Linked DNA regions of Arabidopsis thaliana. The protein of the gene in region 1 purifies or fractionates together with the protein of each later gene. This does not show direct contact. Each region holds a gene or a part of one and is shown in the gene's direction. Other genes may lie near its edges.

Region 1 (4,562 bases):
AATAAAACCAAATGAAAAATTGAATTGGATAACAGGTTGCAGATTCATGGGAGTCTTTAGATGGATGGCTTGACGCAATTCGTTTGGTTTACACAATTTATGCGAGAGGGAAGAGTGATGTTTTAGCCGGTATTATCACCGGTTAATAAATACTTCATTTAATATGACTATTTTGCTTTTTTATCTGTAGTTTTGTGATGTATTATGATCTTAGCGAAATTTTTTTGTCATTTTCAAACGCTTTTTGGGACCCTTTTTCTTATTTTCATCGAATACATTTATAAAATTACATGTTTACCAATTGTCGTCTGAATTATCCTTGAGTGTGAACTACTGTGTATGTTCTTGTTGTAAAAGAAAACTCCAAACATATACTACTACGGACTTGGGAAACTTTTTAGTACAGCCGTATTAGATGTTGGGCTAATGGGCTTATAAGTGTCTAGGCTTTAACGGCCCATTAAAAATCCGCCTCTCTCGCTTTCTCGTAACCGTAGTCGTGTCCCGGAATCCGGACGATCCACCGAGCTCGAAGCTCAAAAATCATGGCGTCTCTGTCGTGTCTCCCGATTTGCGGACTTTCATCTTCCGCTTCACTCTACACCAAGGCCCGACTACTTTCTTCTTCTTCTTCTTCCCCGTCGCCGCTTCCTCTAGCCTATCCTCTACAAAACCCTAAGAAGGTGATCGATCAAAACTAGCAATGGTTCTCTCAAGATATTTTTCTCAATAACTGGTTCCTTTCTTTGTTTTCTCAGCTATGTAGAAAGATTGAGAGAGTAATTTGCAGAGCGGAGTTTTCACAGGACGCACCACTCGTAACAGCAATTGGTGCGTGTATCCTAAGTTCATTTGTTTTTCCGGTGGCGAAACGAGTCAACGATGAGGAAGAAGAAGAAGAAAACTCAGCGATTGTGTCAACAGATATGAGATTAGCCGCCATGGGAATCATCAGCTTCATACCTTACTTCAATTGGCTGGTTTGTTTCATTTCTCCTTAATCCTTAGTAAATCTCTTATAATTAAATGTTTAAACACTAAACAAATTCAAAATATTGTGATGATTAAATACAGAGTTGGGTGTTTGCTTGGCTTGACACTGGAAAATCTCGTTATGCTGTTTATGCTCTTGTTTATCTTGTTCCTTATTTGAGGTAATTAATCTTGTTTAAGATGCATAATTGTTCAGTCTGAATTTGGTCATCTGGTTGTTCTAGTTTAGTGTTTGAGTTTATATTCATGTTTAATTTGGCAGTTCAAATCTGTCTATTTCTCCAGAAGAGAGCTGGTTACCAATTACAAGCATTGTCTTGGGCATTATTCATGTTCAGGTTCTCATTATTATGTCTTTCTTCTATAATCTGACTAAAACTCTGATTTGCAACGTACTTTGTGTTTCATCTTTTTTTTTTTGGTTGGGTAGCTTGAAGCAAGCATCGCAAATGGGGATGTTGAGACACTTGCATTCTTCAGAAACACATCTGATGACGATTTTTCATCTAAGAAAAGAATCCATTTTAAGAAACATTTCAAGGTAATCTAAGTGTCTTTAGTAAAAGAGAAATGCTTTCAAATTCAATTTATAACTGGACTTTTGATTTGTTTTCTTTTTCTTTTTGCAATGTAGGGAAAAAACAGTGACGATGAAAATTAAGAATAATTCGCAAAAGACACAAAGAGAATAAATGAATATTTGTAACAGACTTTAGCTATTAGCTTTGTTAATGTAATTGCCACAAAATCCGAATTTTAAAAGGTTAAATTTGATGTAGACGAAAACAAAATTATATCTCTTTTGCACATTTGAATTTTTTTTATACACCGCAAACTCAAAGTATTAAATTTGTATTTGAATTTGATGACTGTTATTTGGTAACATGATTAAGAAACAAAAGAAATTTTAAGGCCCATGGGCCTTTACTTTTAAGCATCATATAAATAGGTGGAAGAGGCCCATTTGGCATTTTATCATTTCTTCGTGAGATGATGTTTTCGGTAACGAAAGGTTTAATCAGAAACTTGGCCTTGTTCCAAGTTCGTCTTCCTCCTCTCGTAGCAGCAGTAATGGCTCCTTCAAGCGTCGTTAGGGTTTACTCTACCGCTACCTCTCCTTCTCCTTCTGAAATTTCCGTCAAGAAAGTTGGTACTCATAATGGAAGCTTTCACTGCGACGAAGCTCTCGGCTGTTTCATGATTCGCCTCGTCGATAAATTCTCCGGCGCTGATATCGTCCGTTCTCGTGACCCTAAGGTAACTCTAACAATCCTCCTGAAGTAGCTCTGGCTTAGGAAATGAGTATTAGGAGATTGATTAGTAGCTAGAGATTGACTGCTTAATTTTGGAATTAGGGGTTTTTGATGTAAATCTGGGTTAATTGTGAGGAGGATATGATTCTATGTTGTTGTACGGTACATGTAGATATTGGCAGAACTTGATGCAGTGCTTGATGTTGGAGGTGTTTATGATCCGGAGCATGACCGTTATGATCATCACCAGAAAGGTTTTGAAGAGGTTTTTGGACATGGCTTCAACACTAAGCTCAGTAGTGCTGGTCTTGTTTACAAGGTATTGTAGTGTTTGCTCTCATTCTCACTGATATTTCTATGAATATGTCAATTTCGAATTCTGAATGTTGGTGTTTTACTCTCAGCATTTTGGAAAGGAGATCATAGCTAAGGAACTTAATGTCGAACAAGATCACCCTGATGTTCTTCGGTTGTTTTTAGCTGTCTACAAGAGCTTCATGGAGGTAATTTCAGAAGTTCCTATTGTTTATTCTTCATATGGATATAAGTTCTTGTTTGTTTTGATGACGTTATGTTGCTTAATTTTTACAGGCAATTGATGCTGTGGACAATGGAATAAACCGGTATGATACTGATCAGCCTCCACGATATGTGAACAACACACATCTGTCTCCAAGGGTTGGAAGATTAAATCTGGATTGGATTGACCCTGACCAGTCACAAGAAAAGGAGAATGAAGCTTTCCAACGTGCAATGGCTCTAGCTGGAAAAGAGTTCCTCGAAGTAAGATCTCTTTTATATAACATTATGTGCTTATTAGTTTTTTTATGTCCATTGCAATGGTAGTTTCCTAGAGACATAACATGTTTCATAAAACAAATGTAAGCTTACACTAGTTTCTTTTATATTGTGTTGTAGAGTGTTCAGTTCCATGCAAGATCGTGGTTACCGGCTCGATCAATTGTGATGCAGTGTCTTGAAGAAAGATTCAAGACAGACCCCAGCGGTGAGATCATGATATTGGATAGATTTTGCCCTGTAAGTGTTTCAATACTCGATTCCTCTTGTCCATGCTATTACTATTTGAGTCTAAAGATATTAAACTCTGGTTCTCTTGTGAGCAGTGGAAGCTTCATTTGTTCGAGCTTGAGCAAGAAATGAAGATCGAGCCTCTCATCAAATACGTCATTTACCAGGTACACCTTTTTAGATAGAACCTTTCATCAAATAATGGATCTCTAAATCTGGTTTGAAATGTGAAAAAAAAAAAAAACAGGACGAGAGAGCAAAGCAGTGGAGAGTTCAAGCAGTGGCGGTCGCACCAGACAGGTTTGAGAACCGAAAGCCTCTCCCTGAGAAATGGAGAGGCCTTAGGGATGAGGAACTCTCGAAAGCTGCTGAGATTCCCGGTTGTGTCTTTGTCCACATGAGTGGCTTTATCGGCGGAAACCAATCCTATGACGGCGCTCTATCCATGGCTCAAACCGCACTCACTCTCTGAGCATCAAAAGAATCATTTACCCATTACTCATAGAGAGAGACCGAGAGTTTTGATATTGCCATTATCTTCTGCAATTTCTGTTTCATTGAGTCTTCTCGTGACAAAAAATTTAAGAACTAGATTTGTAGTCTCAAGCTGATTAGATCATATTATATGTTTGCTTCCTCTTGTCCGTTTTCACCTTTGGAGTAGATTTGTAGTAGAGAGCGTAAACAATATTAGCTGAAAACCACAACAATAATGTTCAGTGCTTATCTACACTATACCAGAATAACACATAGCAAAATTAACTTATTAAACTCTTTAGCTCACTGTTTTTATGAATTAAGTAATTTAGAGATCAAGTAACAATCATTTGAATGTTTGTTAAAACTCCATTACTACATTTGGAGTCTTGAGATGATTCAAAATATTATGTCAACCTTCTTCATGTCTAAGCTTCTATTTTCAAAAGTAAGATTAAATATTTACTTATATTTTTGGTGTTTCCATTTTTTTTTTATTTTTTTTTTGGGGTGATATACATGTTATTTCAACTCTAAAAATGTATCTAACCTTATTACTAATATAAGGTTTTACGGTATTTCGACATATAAAAATTAAAAAATAAGAACATCAGTTTATAAATTGATTTTCACTAAACAGAAATATTGTCGAACATATGGAGGGCAATAAACGATCTATATGATCATTGCCTCCAAATCGGAGATTTTTCACTTTTATTCTTCCATTCTTCTCTCTTATTTCAATCGGGTTTGCGTCGAAACCCGAAACCCACTTATCTCTTCTTCTCTGAAGACTCTATGGAGATCTCC
Region 2 (6,399 bases), on another chromosome or scaffold:
TTTGATCTTGATCAAGACTAATCCGATTGATACATTCATTGTAGGAACTCATCATCTTTTTAAATTGCAACGGCGTTGACAAATGTGAGATTTCAGAGTAGTGGTGGCGTTTGAGACGTTTACATCATCTAGGAAAGGTAAATTATTTCATAAAGAAAGAGGACCCATTACTCCCTACAAGGTACAGGTAGATTGAAGTCATAGGAGAATATGGTAATGAAAAGGAGAATTTACTCTTCCTTTTTATGTTTGTGAAGCCCACACAGTGTTATTATGATGTCTTGCTTTTTTTTTTTTTTAATTTGAATCTATATACTATATAGGAAGAGTGAGTTTTTGTTTGTTTATATAGGAGTATATTTGTTTCTTTATTATCTGATGAGTTGTGTTCAATCCTATAAATGGTTCGAGAAATATCGAGTTCAATCTTAAAATGGAGTATTTTTCTTAGGCATTATTATGACGTTTTCTTTTGTTATAGTCGGAATGTATACATTTTCTGTATAGTCACACTCACATGTTTCTATAGATGTATTTGATGTAAGTGATCTAAGCTCAGTATTTTCAATTGAGGTATATATATGCTGAGTTATTGTTGTCCTTGCGCTTATTTTGATATTATAGGTACTTTGTTTTTTTCTCTTACATTTATAGTTACGTTATAGTCTTATAGACTATTCCCACATTTTTGTGTTTATTTATATCGGTTGTTGACTAATTAGGTTTTAGATGGTACCAAAATGATTTGCAATTCTATGTGGAAATATGAAAGCAAAACAAGTTTACAATACGACTTTTGCCAAGCTCTTAGCATTGTTACGATTATTGGATTCTAACGTTTTTTTCTTCTTTAGGTAAAATGAGGATTTTAATGTTGAGAAAGTAAGCTTCGGATTTATCATGTAATCGTGATGATATGACATTCGATGACTTGGTAGATATGTATAATCCTCGACGTCTCTGTTGTGCATCTAGCATGGTTTATAGGGGCTCATTAAACAGGGTGTAGATTTATACATTTACCATAAGTTTGAAAAATTACAACTCCACGTCAAAGAGAAAATAAAGAAAATAATAAGAATTCAACAAAAACTTTCCCTAGTAACCTCATCATTGGAAGTGTGTCAGTAGCATTTAAATTATCCTTTCAAGGCAAATCTCCAAACTTTTCTACGCGATTTAACTATGCGCGTGACTCCCAAATTTCCTTTCTCGTTTATTATGTAGGTCAAAGTTGCTTTTATCTTGTAATTTTTTTCTTATGTTCGGTCAATTCACTAAAACTCCAGTAATTATTTATCTGTAGTGTAGCGTATGATTATTATTCTGCAAACTCTGCGTAATAGAGACTTTTTAAAAAACAAATGCAGTAGTCCAAACCTACTTTCTAGAAAGAAAAAGAAAAAATGTTCTTTAGTTTCCCTCCTAAACGGTGAAAAGTCTCTTTGTCGCAATTTGTTTACACATATCCTGATAAAACGAGTTTATTGGGCTTTATGTTGGGCTCGTTTATTCAGCAGGTCTGAACCTCAAAACTATATTATAAAGTTTAAGCCCAAAAGGCTTTAAATATGGTATCAACAACATATGCTTATGCTATGCATCATTTTCGCAAACTATGGTGTTGTATGAATTAGTGGGTTGTTCAAGATGTTTTTTCTTAAGCGAAAACCTATTTATACAGTTTGCAATGGATATAAGCTTTTGCAAAGTCTACAAAAGTCACATCTCACCACAAAAAAAAAAGGTCTACAAAATCACATGTATCTTTGGAAAAGTATCCATGCTTAGATATTTCATATTTCTGATCCAATTATCCAAACAAACATGTCAACAGATAAAATTAAAAAAAAAGCTAATCTTTTCAAAATATACAAGTCAAACTGTCAGAATATAACAATTTAGACTAGTTGATAAAAATATATTTTTGAATAAGAACATTTTAGATTAAATTTTGGTACCATAAAATGTTTGATAGAACGACGAAACCATTTTGACATATTAACGGCAATCTCGGGGAAGAAGAAGAAGCGGTAGAGAGAAAACCGATGCTCACAGCGTTTGCAAGTCACGCGCGTTCTCACGTTTTCGCGTTTGTTACCGTCCCAACAATCACGCGCCGCCTCCGTATAAATATCTTACGCCAATCACCTCTCTCCTCTTCTCTTCTCCTAAACGAAACCTTCTCCAATCGACCCAATTCTGTTTCTCGTCGTTGTTATTGTTCGAGCTCTGCGATAATGGGTTCTTCTTCGGTGTTTGGCGAGCAATTACAGTATCCTGCGACTCGGCGTGATGATTCCGTCGTCGATGACTATCACGGCGTCAAGATCGGAGATCCGTACCGTTGGTAAGAGTTCGTTTCCAGCTGCAATTTCTCTTATTATGCTTTTAGGTTTCCGGATGAGAACGATATTTCCAAATGAGATTTTGAACACATCGCTCTGAGGAATTAGCAGACATTGGATTTGACTTGGAGATTGACCTTGAGAGAAATTCCTAAATTGTTCGTGATTTCGTGTGATTTGTTCATTTTTGCTATGATTTAGCGTTGAATTTGTCATTCTGGATTGTTGCTAGGTTAGAGGATCCTGATGCTGAAGAAGTGAAGGAGTTTGTGCAGAGCCAAGTGAAATTGACAGATTCTGTACTTGAAAAGTGTGAAACAAAGGAGAAGCTCCGTCAGAATATAACGAAACTTATTGATCATCCTCGTTACGATTCACCATTCAGGCAAGGGGATAAGTACTTTTACTTCCATAACACTGGTCTACAGGCTCAAAGTGTGCTTTATATGCAGGTATTTGTTGAGATAAAGGCGTTTGTATCAGTGCATACTCTGTTCTAGCTTTGTTTTCTCATTGAATTTGATTGCATTCGGGTTCAGGATAATCTGGATGCTGAGCCAGAGGTTTTGCTTGATCCGAACACTCTTAGTGATGATGGAACAGTGGCCTTAAACACCTTTTCTGTCAGCGAGGATGCTAAGTACTTGGCCTATGGTCTTAGTTCAAGTGGTAGCGACTGGGTGACGATTAAGCTGATGAAAATCGAGGATAAGAAAGTGGAGCCTGATACTTTATCATGGGTATGGTCTTAAAGATGGTACTGACTAGTGGGGTTGATCAATAAAGTTCTACCGTCCAGATTTCTGATAGATTTATGTTCCTCTCGTGGAACAGGTTAAGTTTACCGGCATTACATGGACGCACGACAGTAAAGGATTTTTCTATGGTCGCTACCCAGCTCCCAAGTAAGTACAAGATGTGTTGGAAGAAGCCTTTCGATATAGTTCAGAAAGCTAAGTTGATTTACCAATTTTATCTGTTTTTGTTTTGCAGAGAAGGAGAGGATATTGATGCTGGCACTGAGACTAATTCTAACCTTTATCATGAGCTGTATTACCATTTCATTGGGACGGATCAATCTCAAGATATCTTATGCTGGAGAGATAATGAGAATCCCAAATATATGTTCGGAGCTGAAGTCACTGACGATGGGAAGGTAACACACCAAGTTCTTATGTTGGTTCTTTAACTATGGTTACGCTCTTAAACCTCAAATTTATTTTTTCTGCGCATACTTACGGAAAATCATTTTGATCGTTTCCCTTTTTCTAAATGATGGTCATGACTTCAAACTGTGTTACCTAGTTTTGTAGATCTGGAACTTGGATTCTTAGTTTTAGGTCTAATCAATGTTATTTCTTCTTGTAGTATCTGATCATGAGCATTGGAGAGAGTTGTGACCCTGTCAACAAATTATACTACTGCGATATGACTTCATTGTCAGGAGGTCTTGAGAGTTTCAGAGGAAGCAGCAGTTTTCTTCCATTCATTAAGCTTGTTGACACATTTGACGCGCAATATAGTGTTATCTCAAATGATGAGACTCTGTTTACTTTCTTGACGAATAAAGATGCCCCTAAGTACAAATTAGTCCGGGTTGATCTAAAGGAACCAAACAGCTGGACTGATGTTGTTGAAGAACACGAAAAGGATGTCTTAGCATCAGCTTGTGCTGTCAATGGGAATCACCTGGTCGCATGCTACATGAGCGATGTAAAGCATATTCTGCAAATTAGGGACTTGAAATCTGGTTCATTGCTTCACCAATTACCTCTAGATATTGGTTCAGTATCTGATGTTTCTGCTCGGCGCAAGGACAATACCTTTTTCTTTAGCTTTACTAGCTTTCTCACTCCTGGTGTGATTTACAAGTGTGACTTAGCCAATGAATCTCCAGAAGTTAAGGTATTCCGGGAGGTTACTGTACCCGGATTTGACAGGGAAGCATTTCAAGCCATTCAGGTAACACACTCTCTTGTAGCGTCTTCCTGTTTCTTTCATAACTACTTTTTACTTTGCATATGTTAAAGTGGTTTCTGCTCCTCTTTATAGGTCTTCTATCCCAGCAAGGATGGAACAAAGATACCTATGTTTATTGTGGCGAAAAAGGATATTAAGCTTGATGGATCACACCCATGTTTGCTCTATGCATATGGTGGGTTTAACATAAGCATAACACCGTCTTTCAGTGCCAGCCGTATTGTGCTTAGCAAGCATCTCGGTGTTGTTTTCTGCTTTGCAAACATTCGGGGTGGTGGGGAGTATGGTGAGGAATGGCACAAAGCAGGTTCACTTGCCAAAAAGCAGAACTGTTTCGATGACTTTATCTCTGGGGCAGAGTATCTCGTGTCCGCTGGTTATACACAACCGAGCAAGCTGTGTATTGAAGGTGGCAGCAATGGTGGACTCCTTGTCGGTGCTTGCATAAATCAGGCAAGTTTATATAGCCAATAATTCAGGACAAAAACGAATAATATGAAGCTAATAATTTGTAATTTTCGTCTCATTTAGTTGCCACACTTATACATAAATTTTCAATTCTGCTGCACAGAGACCGGACCTTTATGGTTGTGCTTTGGCTCATGTGGGCGTCATGGACATGCTACGGTTTCACAAATTCACTATAGGTGAGTGAGTTCAGTTATCTGCAATTTGTTTTGTTTGATTTTTTGCTTAATGTAATTCTAACTTGAGGTGTTATGTATGTATAGGTCATGCCTGGACATCTGATTATGGTTGCTCTGAGAATGAAGAGGAGTTTCATTGGCTGATAAAGTAAGTATATGAACTTATGATATGATGTTGTATTGATTTGTTTCCCAATGCTGATACAAAGTTACAATCTGGGTGTGAATGTATAAAGGTACTCGCCTCTGCACAATGTGAAGAGGCCATGGGAGCAACAAACCGATCACTTAGTTCAGTATCCATCAACTATGCTACTGACTGCTGATCACGATGACAGAGTTGTGCCACTTCACTCTTTGAAGTTGCTTGCTGTCCGTTTCCAGACTTTATTTCTTTAATGTTTAATTTATTTTCAATCTTACCTTAAATAGCCAGCAGATTGTTAAAACTCGTATGTATACATCTGCAGACGTTGCAGCACGTGCTGTGCACAAGCTTAGACAATAGTCCTCAGATGAACCCCATAATTGGTCGTATTGAAGTCAAGGCTGGCCATGGTGCTGGTCGCCCAACCCAAAAGATGGTAATGATTTTAGAAATTCTCGTTGCTTAAGCGTTACATCATATAACATACATTTTCCCATGGTTAACTGATATTGAGATGTTCAACAGATTGATGAAGCGGCTGATCGGTATTCGTTCATGGCAAAGATGGTGAATGCTTCATGGACGGAGTAAAAAAAATTCCTTTATCTACAGGCACCAAATATCTTTTCTCAATATCTTCTGTCCAAACAAGGACGTTGTATGAGTTAGTGACAATTACATGTAAACACATGTTTCAGTTTTTTCTCAGGCTTTATGTTCCAGTTCATTGACACCCAAAAAGGATTTTCTTCAATGCATTTTGCTTCATCCGGCATGTGCATTTTGCGTCACTCAACATTTATTACAACAGTAACACGATACAACTAACCATTTCAGTAAATTGTGACCGTCATCAAAGAGTGTTTATTGATGGCTCAATGGCTCATTACGCCAAGCAAACATCAAGAGTCTTCTGACATGTTTATTACCTTTGCAATATTATGACAGCCCAATATATCTAAGGACCTAACATTCTAAAGTGACGAAGATAACCCACGAATATCAACATAACCAGCTAACACAGTTTTGTTCCTTTCCTTCACTTTCGTCTGATATATAACCCTGTGAATACATCAAAAGCTAAGTTCAAGTTTTGAATATACCAGTGATATGGATAATCTATGTAATATATCGCCAAAGAACAATACAAGGTAGAGAGAGAGACAGAGTTCTACCTCAAGCCTTCAAGCCACATTTCGGTTATCAGAGTTTCGCCAGGAAAAACAGTCGTGAGGAATCGTCCAGATATGGTTTTGACAGCAGTTGGGTCACCCTT
Region 3 (5,438 bases), on another chromosome or scaffold:
AATTATTGCTTGGCTTGTGGTTGCAGGAGGAGATCTTTGACGAAACTGATCACCATTTTGAAGACTCCTAACACAGAGTGCATGACCACTGAACTGGTTATGAATGTCGAAAACTTTAGTCTTTGTTTTCAACTTTCAAACTGTCACTTGTCCGGCGAATGTGTATCAATGTAGGCATGAACAACAACTTTTTCTATGGTTTCAAGATGTTTTCTCTCTATATATATATCATTGGTCTCTAAGATATGTCGCTCTCTCCTTTCTTCAAAGAGTTTTACCAAATCTGAACCCTCATAGGCCACACCAATAGTTGTCTCTACTACCTATATATCATTAGTCTCTAAGATATGTCACTCTCTACCTTACTTCAAAGAGTTTTTATTCGCATTTTACTAATACAAGAATTAATGAAATATGATCATCTTATGGATACAACATCACTGCCGGTGTAAAAAGGCAATTACTTTTGTCCGGAAAGATCTAGTCCCTACCATATTTTCTCTTCTTCCTATCCCTTTTCTTCTCTTTTGACTTGTGTTTCTTACTAAGTTTCTTCTTATGCTCCTTTCTCTTTCTATGAGCCCGTTTGTAAACTTCCTCCTCGTCGGAAGAAGAAGAATCTGTCCTACGTCTCAATAAAGGTGATCGCTCTGGCTGAATCACTAGCTTCCGATCTCCTGTATCAGAAGTTCTTGACAATTCCCTCTCAGGAAGACAGGGTAGCGGTTCATCCATCATAGCACCAACAGAACCTCTGCCACGCTTGACCCTATCATAGACCAGAATCACAAGTTTTATCAGCAAAAGCCGATCCCAAATTCGATCATTATTGTAAAGGAAATAATCAGGCAGCATCTGAGTATAATGGAAATACCTTGATTGGAGAAAAGTCTTAACCTCGACATCTCCTAAGCCTTCATCATCATCATCCTCTGATTGCCATCTTTTGCTTCTGCTCCGGCTTGATGATGGTGATAAACTAGTAGTAGTAACATTCTCATCAACTGAAGTACATCTCTTTAAAAAATCCCTCCTATTGTTCTGCTCACTTTGACCATTGCTGCTCTCATCTCTTGATTTTCTTTTGAGCCTTTCACCAAACTCAATCTCTTTACTCCGAAGACTCCACATCTCATTGGTTTCCACAGCTTTGTTTGCTGAATGGAATAAAGAAGAAACAAATAAGAGATAAACTAAAAAAAAACTAGATTTTGTTGGATAGAAGCAAAGTCTGTCAACAAAAGATTATACCTTGCTGAACACCAAGAACTGTAGCAGTGAGAAATCTAGAGTTAGGTCGATGCCTTACATTAGGCTTCTCAAGATATGCTCTGACGCCATCTTTCTCAGCTTGTCTCCTCAATTCTGCTGCTTCTCTTAAAAGAATGGAAGCTATTCGATTTTCAGTTTCCAGATCCATCTACTCCAAGGTAAAACAAAAAAGTATAAGCCTAATCAAGTTATGTGATCAAATCAATCTGGGTAGATCAAACAAAGATGGAGTTGAACTTAATTCGACCACTACAGCTATCTAAATCATTGCTTCTTAATCACAGAACTTCCACTAAAGCTACGTTCTTTCGACAACGAAATCAACGAAGCAAAACAAACAAAATTACGTAAACACACAACAATCGAAAAGGGGATTTTTGGAGAACCCTATTGGTCGAGATTAATTACCACGAAATCGAATTGACTCAGATACAGATATCTAGTAGCAGCTTCACGAAATCGTGCGATTCCTCGGCGTTTTCCAGCAGGCGCAGAGCAAAATCATTGTCCGAGCCAGAGAGAGAAATAAATAAATTGAACTGAATTGGAAAATTCCCAAAAATTTCTAGTAAAACCGAACCGGAACAAACCGGATTAATTTCCTCTCAGACCAAACCGAAGAAGAACCCTAGTTTTATCAGTCTCACCAACTATCTCCCATGGTTCATTTGCTCTGCAAATTTGTCTGAAAAAATCTTTGTGCGAAGCAGGAAAAATGTCGTCGACCCATCAGTTAGTTTCTTCGATGATCTCTTCTTCCTCATCCACTTTCTTAGCCCCTTCAAATTTTAATCTCAGGTGCGTCGTTTTGTTTTCTTTTACTCTCTGTTTGCTACTGATATAATCTAGTGAGGATGAATATGAAATTGGATTCATTTCCAGAAATTAATTGTATGTTATGAATTTACTTGGAAATTTCAATCCTTTGGTTTTTAAGTCGATGTTGGATGGTGTTGTTTGGCCAGAGAACAGTGCATTTGCTTGTGATGATCATTGATTCATTTTTTTATTGGTTTGCTTTCCTTTTTGGCTTCAGAACTCGAAATGCTTGCTTACCCATGGCAAAACGGGTCAATACTTGCAAATGTGTTGCTACGCCGCAAGAGAAGATCGGTAATGTTCCTACTCCATGTTGTTTTTGCTGTAATGATTAGTAACATAGTTAATGATTTATCGTCTTTTAGCTGTTTATCTGTTTCTTACAATACATGATTTTGTTTTCTGTATGTAGAGTATAAGACCAAAGTGTCACGGAATTCAAACATGTCCAAACTTCAGGCTGGATACCTATTCCCGGAGGTTTGTTACCTGTTACTCTCTTGGTACTACTATTTAAGATTTCAAATACCTAAAGGAGTGGCATTTCAAGTTAACATTTTTGAAAGCTTCTAGTGATCTGAAATATTATAACTATCTGTGTAATAAGTTAATATATCCTCATTGATTCTGTATATAATGCTCCTCTCTCTTATTTTTTTGTGTGGATGCAAACAGATTGCAAGAAGAAGGTCTGCACACTTGTTGAAATATCCAGATGCACAAGTTATAAGTCTTGGAATAGGCGACACAACTGAGCCAATTCCTGAAGTGATCACTTCTGCTATGGCAAAGGTACCTCCTTATCTTAACTTAGCTTCATGTGCTCTTTGCCCTTCTCTGGGCTCTAGCATATTTTAAACTGATTTTACTAACACTGCCCTAACATGTATTATTTCGTTCATTTTGACAAAAATGTATAACATATTTTCTGTTTTGGCGTATTTGGATTATTAAACGAGAACTTCTCTGTAATCTAACAATGAAAATTATTCTGGTAGCATAGTTTTTTTGTTTGCTATACTATTCACACAGGCATGTAATCTCTAGAGATTAATCATGTTTTTTTTCTCTGACAGAAAGCTCATGAGTTGTCAACAATAGAGGGATATAGTGGTTATGGTGCTGAACAAGGTGCAAAGGTCAGTGCACCCTTCATTTCCACCTTATTGCGTTGTTATCATTTCTTTATTATCTGCCTTTGCACGTCACTTCAATTTTATTATGGATAGTCTTGAACTGCTGCTAAATTCAAGAGAAGATGGATTTAAACCTGTTTCTTACATGTAAAATCTTAAAGCTTAATCTGTTAAGTTTTTATCCAAACTAACCTTGATTTCACATATGTGAAAAGCCACTGAGAGCTGCTATTGCGAAAACATTCTACGGTGGCCTTGGCATAGGGGATGATGACGTTTTTGTTTCTGATGGAGCTAAATGTGATATCTCACGTCTCCAGGTTTGTTTTATTGCTGACTATTCATCTGTAATTGATACAAGATTAAGAAATATGAACAGCTGTTTCTTGATTCCACTTCTTGCAGGTTATGTTTGGTTCCAATGTTACAATTGCTGTTCAGGATCCTTCATATCCGGTAATTGGGCATATAGAAACCAAATTGCAGTTGTAGTCTTCTCTACTTTTGCTCCATTTTAACGTGGAACTATGCTGTCTCGTTTTTTTTGGATTATACAGGCTTATGTGGACTCCAGTGTTATTATGGGTCAGACTGGGCAATTTAACACTGATGTGCAAAAGTATGGAAACATCGAGTACATGAGATGCACTCCAGAGAATGGCTTCTTTCCCGACTTGTCCACCGTTGGCAGGACAGATATAATTTTCTTCTGTTCCCCAAATAACCCTACGGGTGCTGCTGCCACGAGAGAGCAACTAACGCAGTTAGTTGAGTTTGCAAAGAAGAACGGTTCTATAATAGTGTATGATTCCGCCTATGCAATGTACATGTCTGATGATAACCCACGATCCATCTTCGAAATCCCTGGAGCAGAGGAGGTAATAGACTGATTGATTATAACATTAAAAGGTCCATTTTTCAACATCTTTCTTCATGTGTACAACCGCTTACAGGTCGCTATGGAGACAGCTTCGTTCAGCAAATATGCTGGTTTCACTGGAGTTCGACTTGGTTGGACTGTCATCCCGAAAAAGCTACTCTATTCAGACGGTTTCCCTGTTGCCAAAGACTTCAATCGGATTATCTGCACTTGTTTCAATGGTGCATCTAATATCTCTCAAGCTGGTGCTCTTGCTTGCCTTACACCCGAAGGACTTGAGGTTAGCTTAGCTAAAGAGAGATCTCAAACCAGTTCCCACTAGTTCAGATATGCAAAATGATTTATTTTGTTGTCTTTTGAATCATTGCAGGCAATGCATAAGGTGATTGGATTCTATAAAGAAAACACAAACATAATCATTGACACATTCACATCTCTCGGGTATGATGTATATGGAGGAAAGAATGCGCCTTACGTATGGGTTCACTTCCCGAACCAAAGCTCATGGGATGTGTTTGCTGAGATTCTGGAGAAGACTCATGTGGTTACAACTCCAGGAAGTGGGTTTGGACCAGGGGGTGAAGGGTTCGTTCGTGTCAGTGCCTTTGGTCACAGAGAGAACATCTTAGAGGCATGTCGAAGATTCAAGCAGCTTTACAAATGAAGAACCTTGTTTGTAATCGTTCCTCATCATCATCACCCTCTTTAATGACATGATTTGAGTTAAAATAATGTCGTTTCCATTGTTTTCTGGAATTTGTAGAAGACACTTTTGACACCAGTGTTTCAAGCAATTTGGCAAAGTATTTTAACAACGAAATCAAAGTGCAAATAAGTGAACTAGTGTGGAAAATAAAATATTTAAATTGGACTGAGGAAGAACGTCAAAAAAATATAAAATTGGATTGGTTAAATAAATCTAAAATTGGACCGGGATGGGTGTTTTCGTAATTTAGGCTTGTTGAGCCACCGTGTGGGCAAAAATATCCAAAAACACAACACAAGTGTTGTCTTCTCGCGTCTCTCATCAACGAGAACCAGTTTTTTTGTTGATCCTATCAACAATGACGAAAATAGAGCTTCGAGCTTTGGGGAACACAGGGCTTAAGGTTAGCGCCGTTGGTTTTGGTGCCTCTCCGCTCGGAAGTGTCTTCGGTCCAGTCGCCGAAGATGATGCCGTCGCCACCGTGCGCGAGGCTTTCCGTCTCGGTATCAACTTCTTCGACACCTCCCCGTAAGCACTTCTTCTTCTTTTATATTTTCTAAAGATTACTGATTCTTCAATACTAATTGCTGATTCTCTGAATGTTGAGACTAATTTAATCGTTAAA

What was found. Proteins that work in one complex are often made in the same cells at the same time.
Region 2: the proteins of AT5G41970 (region 1) and AT1G76140 fractionate together in Arabidopsis thaliana (co-fractionation; one large-scale study listed by BioGRID). This does not show direct contact.
Region 3: the proteins of AT5G41970 (region 1) and AGD2 fractionate together in Arabidopsis thaliana (co-fractionation; one large-scale study listed by BioGRID). This does not show direct contact.

What each region holds. Positions count from the first base shown.
Region 1 is NC_003076.8:16,789,215-16,793,776, forward strand, and holds AT5G41970 (Metal-dependent protein hydrolase), read left to right. Parts: upstream 1-1,936; 5' UTR 1,937-1,983; coding exon 1,984-2,250; intron 2,251-2,418; coding exon 2,419-2,565; intron 2,566-2,650; coding exon 2,651-2,749; intron 2,750-2,837; coding exon 2,838-3,029; intron 3,030-3,164; coding exon 3,165-3,284; intron 3,285-3,370; coding exon 3,371-3,442; intron 3,443-3,522; coding exon 3,523-3,747; 3' UTR 3,748-4,047; downstream 4,048-4,562. Other genes in the region: AT5G41950 (Tetratricopeptide repeat (TPR)-like superfamily protein), read left to right, coding at 36-146; AT5G41960 (zinc finger matrin-type protein), read left to right, coding at 546-683, 759-980, 1,075-1,154, 1,256-1,331, 1,424-1,534, 1,628-1,654; AT5G41980 (nuclease), read left to right, coding at 4,551-4,562.
Region 2 is NC_003070.9:28,569,139-28,575,537, forward strand, and holds AT1G76140 (Prolyl oligopeptidase family protein), read left to right. Parts: upstream 1-1,991; 5' UTR 1,992-2,048; coding exon 2,049-2,350; intron 2,351-2,580; coding exon 2,581-2,800; intron 2,801-2,887; coding exon 2,888-3,088; intron 3,089-3,182; coding exon 3,183-3,253; intron 3,254-3,341; coding exon 3,342-3,504; intron 3,505-3,716; coding exon 3,717-4,310; intron 4,311-4,400; coding exon 4,401-4,781; intron 4,782-4,899; coding exon 4,900-4,975; intron 4,976-5,059; coding exon 5,060-5,123; intron 5,124-5,211; coding exon 5,212-5,347; intron 5,348-5,445; coding exon 5,446-5,559; intron 5,560-5,601; exon of another isoform or gene 5,602-5,648; coding exon 5,649-5,714; 3' UTR 5,715-5,898; downstream 5,899-6,399. Other genes in the region: ECH2 (enoyl-CoA hydratase 2), read right to left, coding at 6,098-6,185, 6,299-6,399.
Region 3 is NC_003075.7:16,171,180-16,176,617, reverse strand, and holds AGD2 (Pyridoxal phosphate (PLP)-dependent transferases superfamily protein), read left to right. Parts: upstream 1-1,894; 5' UTR 1,895-1,987; coding exon 1,988-2,070; intron 2,071-2,308; coding exon 2,309-2,385; intron 2,386-2,503; coding exon 2,504-2,571; intron 2,572-2,766; coding exon 2,767-2,883; intron 2,884-3,167; coding exon 3,168-3,230; intron 3,231-3,442; coding exon 3,443-3,547; intron 3,548-3,632; coding exon 3,633-3,683; intron 3,684-3,784; coding exon 3,785-4,105; intron 4,106-4,180; coding exon 4,181-4,387; intron 4,388-4,477; coding exon 4,478-4,771; 3' UTR 4,772-4,937; downstream 4,938-5,438. Other genes in the region: AT4G33700 (CBS domain protein (DUF21)), read left to right, coding at 27-71; AT4G33690 (G patch domain protein), read right to left, coding at 481-769, 875-1,157, 1,252-1,420; AT4G33670 (NAD(P)-linked oxidoreductase superfamily protein), read left to right, coding at 5,172-5,341. UniProt on the Arabidopsis thaliana protein: Required for lysine biosynthesis. Catalyzes the direct conversion of tetrahydrodipicolinate to LL-diaminopimelate, a reaction that requires three enzymes in E.coli. Not active with meso-diaminopimelate, lysine or ornithine as substrates.